2 linked regions of the Macaca mulatta genome follow. The protein of the gene in region 1 interacts with the protein of each later gene in a biochemical or structural test. Links are inferred from orthologs where the notes say so. Each region holds a gene or a part of one and is shown on either strand. Other genes may lie near its edges.

Evidence for each region.
Region 2: of the proteins of LIMK2 (region 1) and ROCK1, one has a biochemical effect on the other in vitro, tested with the Homo sapiens proteins (2 studies listed by BioGRID). The link is inferred for Macaca mulatta from reciprocal best matches to the Homo sapiens genes LIMK2 and ROCK1.

Annotation. Positions count from the first base shown.
Region 1 is NC_133415.1:20,254,101-20,257,757, forward strand, and holds part of LIMK2 (LIM domain kinase 2), read right to left. Parts: intron 2,088-3,657; coding exon 1,901-2,087; intron 1,251-1,900; exon of another isoform or gene 1,057-1,250; coding exon 970-1,056; intron 249-969; coding exon 82-248; intron 1-81. UniProt on the Homo sapiens protein: Serine/threonine-protein kinase that plays an essential role in the regulation of actin filament dynamics. Acts downstream of several Rho family GTPase signal transduction pathways.
Region 2 is NC_133423.1:71,400,028-71,403,684, forward strand, and holds part of ROCK1 (rho-associated protein kinase 1), read left to right. Parts: coding exon 1-73; intron 74-1,298; coding exon 1,299-1,390; intron 1,391-1,493; coding exon 1,494-1,740; intron 1,741-3,657. UniProt on the Homo sapiens protein: Protein kinase which is a key regulator of the actin cytoskeleton and cell polarity.

The DNA of each region.
Region 1 (3,657 bases):
CCTGTCTATGCTCAGTCCCACCCAGCATGGTCCTTTGGGGGCAAAGCAGGGCCCCTCTGGCCTTTGACCATGACAACATACCAAGGCTCCTGGAGACTATGGGGTGGTGTACTCACCATGTTGCGCAGGAAGTCCTTCAGTGTGCCCCCCTCAATGTACTCTGTCAGCAGGTTCAGCTTCTTATCCTTGTACAGCACACCAATGAACTTGAGCACATTGGGGTGGTCCAGGCTGCGCATCACTTTCACCTGGGGGTCAGGGAAGCCAAGGAAAGCTGGCTGTTAACTTCTATGTCTTCCTTACCCCTTCCCTCCAGGGAATCAGCCTGACAAGTGTTACCACCTGTATCTCCTACTGCCTCTCTTGTGATATGACAGGGCACTAAGATCAGGATGAGGGAAGACCACCACCATATAGATGGAGATGGCTTCACGGACCTTACCCTTGGGATCCTGCCTTTCTAGGAACTGCACTGGGGGAACTGGGGTGGGAGTGGCCAAGTAGCTTGGAGGGCAGTACCCGGACCACAGGTGTCCCCAACTGACGTTGCTCCATGAAGTAACTTGGGAGGGATGGTGAAAACTGTAAATGCCCAAGGAGTGTGAGTGCTCAGGGAGCTCCCCCTCCAGGTTCCCTTAGCAGGGCATTCAGGTAAGGATTATAACATCGAGTTGTACTAAACTGGCGTGTTTTCATGTCCATCATCCTCATAACCTGAGAGCTTCTCTGAACCATGTATCTTTTGTTACTGCATCCCTTGTATCCTCTTTGTGTTGCTTTTAGTAAGTGTTCATTGAACAAATAATTATGCTGTAATTTAGAGGGAGTGGGATATTCCTCTAGGGCTCTTTTCTGCTTAGTCTTTAAGACAGTGATTCCAAACTGTATTTCCTCTTGAAGCCATTATTTGTAAGGTCTTCTCTCTTCCAATGGTGACACCAACCTCCCGGGCCCCCTCCATCTTCTTACCTCAGTCAGAAAAGTTTTCTGGGTCTCCTCATCACATCGAATTAACTCTTTCATGACCATCACTTTGCCCGTGGCTTTGTGTGTCACCTACAGGGAGGGTGACTGTTAACGGTGCTGAGACCAGAAGTTCTGGAGAACTGTTTGAGAAAATCTATGCAGCTGGCCATCCCATCCCTTGGAGGGCACACTGAGCCGGGTCAGACTGACAGAGTTCATGTGTGGAAGATGCAGCGTGGAGCAACGTGGGACTCAGATGGAACCATACCCTCTTTTCTGGAGAGGTGGGCATGCACGGAGGAGAGGCAAGAACCGAGAAAAGGGAAGTGGGGAAGGAGGCAGGAGGGGACGCTGCCAAGCCAAGCAGGGGCTCTGGTCATCTGGCATAGGAGTGAGTCTCTTGAGTGAACAGAAATCTGGGGGCAGGAAGGTCAGTGCCAGAGACATGCACCAGGGAGCTGGGTGGGTCAGGGGTGAGCTCTCCAGCCCTGCTGCCCCTGCAAGCTGAGACACATGGCTTACCTGACCCCCCCTCCCAGTTCTCAGCAGAGGAGGAGGAGGAGGAGAGAAAGAGAGAGGTTAGTCCCTGAGACTGTTCACCAGGGAGGCAGGAGCCATTCCCGTGTGCTCCTTGTAGCATGCCCGGTACTGAGGTCTGTAGGCACCTAACAAACACCCACTGACTGGAGGCAGGAGAGCCACAGGCACAGCTCAACCCAACCTGGATCTCTAGGTCCACAAGCTCACTGTAACAGTAACACTGACCTTAGGTGGCCTGGGTAGGGGTGAAGCCTCTCACACCATCACCCAAAGCCAGGAAGGAGGCCTGGCGTCCTGCAGGGTGTGGGGTGGGGCCAAGTGATGAGAAATCCCCGAAAGACATTGAGAGAGGGACTGGGGGCAGAAGAGCAAAGTATTTGCTACCTGCGCTCACCTTGATAGCCTGCCCAAAGAAGCCCTTCCCCAGGACCTCCCCGTGGATTAGGTCACAGGGCCGGAAGATCTGCTGTGAATAGCTGCTGGAACAACGAAGGGATTCTGAGCGGCTGATGTCACGGCTGAACAGCAGGGGCTCCTTTGGGGAGCTGGGGCCAGGGGACCTGGAGATGCTGTTACTGCGCCTAAAGATGAGGAAAGATGGGGGTAGGGATGCGTAGTCCTCAGAGACTGGCCAAGAAACCCTGGAGGAAGGAATCTTAGGGGCACCTGTTCATTCCAGTGTCTATAGTTTAGATGTTATTATTGGGGAACAGGGGCTCTTACATCAGATGTATCATTTTGGGGTTGCTAACATCAGTCATTTATTTAAGCATAGTAAAAACACATTCAAAATGGGAACTCTACGTACATCACACATAGAACAATTAACTAGATTCTACTAGCTTATAATGCTCAGTATATGACATATATGACAAGACTGCAGATGGTAATTCACCATCTCCCATATTTGCTTGATTTAAGGTACTAACTGGTTTAGAGTGATAGTTATACTAGTATCCAAAAAATGAGCAAATGGGATTTTTTTTTTTTTTTTTTGAGACAGAGTCTCACTCTGTCAACCAGGCTGGAGTGCAGTGGTGTGATCTTGGCTCACTGCAACCTCTGTCTCCCTGGTTCACATGAGTCTTGTGCCCCAGCCTCCTGAGTAACTGGGACTACAGGCATGTGCCACCAGGCCCGGCTAGTTATTACTATTATTTTTGAGACAGAGTCTTGCTCTGTCGCCCAGGCTGGAGTGCAATGGCACGATCTCGGCTCACTGCAACCTTCATCTCCCAGGTTCAAGCAATTCTCCTGCCTCAGCCTCCCAAGTAGCTGAGACTACAGGTGCACACCACCACGCCTGGCTAATTTTTTTTTTTTGACAGAGTCTCGCTCTGTCACCCAGGCTGAAGTGCAATGGTGGGATCTCCACTCACTGCAACCTCTGCCCCCCGGGTTCAAGCGATTCTCCTGCCTCAGCCTCCCAAGTAGCTGGGATTACAGGCACGTGCCACCACGCCCAAATAATTTTTGTGTTTTTTTTAAGTAGAGATGGGGTTTCACCATGTTGGCCAGGTTGGTCTTGAACTCCTGACCTCACAATCCACCTGTCCTGGCCTCCCTAAGTGCTGGGATTACAGGCGTAAGCCACAGCACCTGGCTCTAATTTTTGTATTTTTAGTAGAGATGGGGTTTCACCATATTGGCCAGACTAGCCTCAAACTCCTGACCTTGTGATCCACCCGCCTCGGCCTCCCAAAGTGCTGGGATTACAGGCGTGAGCCACCATGCCTGGCCAGCAAATGGGATTTTGGATGATATTTTGCACATCTTTGTACCTGTCCATGTTTCCTGAATTTTAAGATGATAAGCATATATGATTTTTATAGCAATAAAGTTACTATGTTTACATTTTCAAAAGCGGTAGATAATAGTCATGGTCAATGACTATAGTTTCACTTACTGAAGGAGGGACAAGAAGGTTGAAGTCCACAGCACTGCAGGTGAACAGCCCTGTGAACTTTCTCTCCGGGGTATGCTCCTGCTTTACTTGGGCTACCCAGAGAGGACTGACGCTGGATGCCTCTTGGCTTGTCCTGCCCTACAGGTTTTCTTACCCTTGTTCTTTTGCTCTGCCTCCTGCTGACCATGCCCACCAGAGCACACAAAGTTAGCTGCCCCCCTCCTCTGCATGGTGGCTCTACAGGT
Region 2 (3,657 bases), on another chromosome or scaffold:
CAGCATAGAATTAATGAGTACCAAAGAAAAGCTGAACAGGAAAATGAGAAGAGAAGAAATGTAGAAAATGAAGGTGAATTGTCACTACTTTTGAAAAATGATAAAATTTCTAACATTGTCATGAGGTTGTCTTTAATTTAGTGTCCATGATACGTACATAAAGCTACAGTCCTAAGACACTTTATAAGCTAAATAACCCAGATCTCAAGTTAAATTTATAACATATTAAAGTAAATAGTAAGTAGTGTTTAACTAGAGTAGTGATTGTCATCATGGTGTGCATACTGGAATCTCCTGGGAAGCTTTAAAGAGTACTGATGCCTAAATCCCAGCGATTCTAATTTAATTGGTCTAGATATGTGGCCTGAGTATCATTATTTTTTACAAGCCCCCTAGGTACTTATAACAAGCAGCTGCGTCTAAGAACTGCTAAACTAGGATTTCTTGTGTTTTAATGCCTATTACAAATATATTTAAAATACCTTTCTACACCCATTGATGCAGTGATTTCACTTCCATAAGTTATTTTACATACATACTCATACTGCAAACTGATATATACACAAGGCTATTCATTGTAGCATTGCTTAAAATGACAAAAAAAATGCAATCAATGCTTATATGAAACATAATGTAACACATATGAAACATAAAGGTAATCAATGCTGTAATAAATTTTAGTACATCTATATGGTAGAATACTATGCAGCTTATAAAAAAAATCATCTCCTTAAATACTGGTATGAAACAATCTCTAAGATATATCTTTAAGTGACAAAAACAAAGTACAGATTGCTTGTGTTTAAAACAAGAGTACTTGTCTATATATGCTTAAATTAAATATATATTAGGGAGGAGAGTCAGTTAAGGGAGACTCACAAGGAGCAAAAATGACTAAATGGAGAAAGGAAGCCTTATACTATCTGCCATTTGATACCTGTTAAATTTTGTATTAAGATATTGAATTATCAAGCAATTGATCTATTGAAAAATAATATTAAAACTAGCTTTATAATTACACTAACAGAGTGATCTTATAAAGGGAATAAAGGAGATGGAGTTTGAGATTTACAATAGTGAGAAGAAATCTGTTTTTGCACTCTGTATTATAAAATGATGTTCTACTTTTTAATGAATGTAAAATGCAAGTACTTCCAAATTGGAATTTGGCTTTGGGAGTGGACCTAATGTAGCTGACTGTTATGGCCTAAGACTAAATGTCATTTTTTAAAAAAGGATTTATATGTTTCCACTATGAAAATTTTGTAATTTCTATATATTATTCTTTCATTTTCTAGTTTCTACATTAAAGGATCAGTTGGAAGACTTAAAGAAAGTAAGTCAGAATTCACAACTTGCTAATGAGAAGCTGTCCCAGTTACAAAAGCAGGTAAGTGTTTCAAATGAGGTTCCTTTTTTTAAAAAAATGTAGATAATTAAATTGTATTGTACTTTGGTCAGAAACCTATTTTCTTTCTTTCTTTTTTAAATAGCTAGAAGAAGCCAATGACTTACTTAGGACAGAATCAGACACAGCTGTAAGACTGAGGAAGAGTCACACAGAAATGAGCAAGTCAATTAGTCAGTTAGAGTCCCTGAACAGAGAGTTGCAAGAGAGAAATCGACTTTTAGAGAATTCTAAGTCACAAACAGACAAAGATTATTACCAGCTGCAAGCTATATTGGAAGCTGAACGAAGGGACAGAGGTCATGATTCTGAGATGATCGGAGACCTTCAAGGTAATATTTTTTTTTATTGTGGTAAAATATGCATAACATGAAATTTATTATAACATTTTAACCATTTATGTATACAGTTCAGTGGGATTAAATACAGTTCACAGTGTATGCAACTGTCATCATATAAGTGGAATCATACAGTGTTTGTCCTTTTGCATCTGGCTTTTTTACTTAGCACAGTGTCTTCAAGGTTTATCCATGTTGTGTGTGTCAGATTTTCGTTCCTTTTTAGGGCTCAGTAATATTCCATGGTATGTGTATACCACATTTTGTTCATCCACTCATCTATCAATGGAAGGAATATTTTGTAATTTTTATTTTTAATTGTCAAAAAATATATAACAAAATTTACCATCTTGACCATTTTTAAGTCTAAGTTAATATATTTATGATCATATTACCCTCATAAAGAAAATGACTTTGGTGAAACCAGATGGTTGCATTCTTTTTTATTTACATTTTTTTGAGATAAGACCTTGCTCTGTTGCCCAGGCTGGAGTGCAGTGGCATGATCACAGCTCACTGCATCCTTGAACTCCGGAGGTCAAGCAATTCTCCCACCTCAATTTCCTGAGTAGCTGGGACTACAGGTGCATGCCACCATGCTCAGCTAATTTTTTCATTTTTTGTAGAGACGGAGTTTCACCATTTTGCCCAGGCTAGTCTCAAACTCCTGGACTCAAGCGAAACACCCACTTCGACCTCCCAAAGTGCTAGCATTATGGGTGTGACACACCACACCAGGCCAGCATTCTTTCTCTTTTAGGATAATGCCTACATTTGTATCACGTTGTAATTTCTTCACCCTCACGGGTACTCCTGCGGGGTAGGTAATGTGGATATTTTTCAGTTTTACAGGTAAATTAACCAAAAACTTCATTTGAAAACTTGCCTAATTCATAAAGGTTTTACTCAAAGTGAGACTAATCCAGGCAAAGAGGATTATCACTATTAAAACCTAGGAATTCCTCATGCATTGTTGGTAGTAATAGAAATTCAATTGCAGAAATAGAATCCCATTACACATTAAAAGTTATATACTTGGGAACGTTTGAACTGGAAATACTGATAAGTCTTCGTGAATCTAAGAGGCAAAAGATTGAGTATAACTAACAGTGAATAAATGAACAGTTTTTAAATAGTAATAAAATTCAGTTTGTTTTCAAAAAGATTCCTGGCTTTATGTACTCACATATTTTTCTTTTTTCTATTCCTGTTAGCAGCAGCATCCATACTACCTAATCAAAACAAATATGCATGGAAGTTGCCAGATCTCTCAGGAAAAAATTGGAGGGAGGAGTTCATTTTAACCTTAGTTAGAGTTGGGAACATAGTTTTGGGTCCCTTGGGGCTTGATGATTAGCTATAATTCAGTGGAGAGAGGTCAGGGTCAGCTTTTGTGACTAAGGAAACAGAAAATATGATCTCCTGTTGGTTCTTAGCTGAGGAGTGTTGTGCAATCATATTTCTCAGGGACCAGGCTTAAAATAGATCTGAATATAACTAAGAAAGTAACCACTTTATATGTAATAGGAAAGTTACAGACTTCCTTACATTGTTTTCCTAGGCCTTTTTATACAGCTTATTAGCTGTTTGAAAGTCTCTTCATCTCCCTTCTTTGTCTGTAAACCAAGGAGATAAGAATAGGTTACCTCTAATAAATCTTTCCAATTCTGAAATTCTTGTAAGTTTGTGATCTGTGTTTGACTGAGCTTTGAGCTCCTTGCTTCAGAGGCAGAGATCATCCATGTACTATCAACAGTGATTTTAAACTGTATCTATTTTTTTAGATATCAGTTAAAGTTAAGGAAAATTTGTGGCGTGATTTATTGTTTGTTTATCCTTTTTCAGTGTTTCCTTTGTTTATTTTGGAACTTAAATGTGGATAAAAGCTCACATACAGTAAAATAATGCACA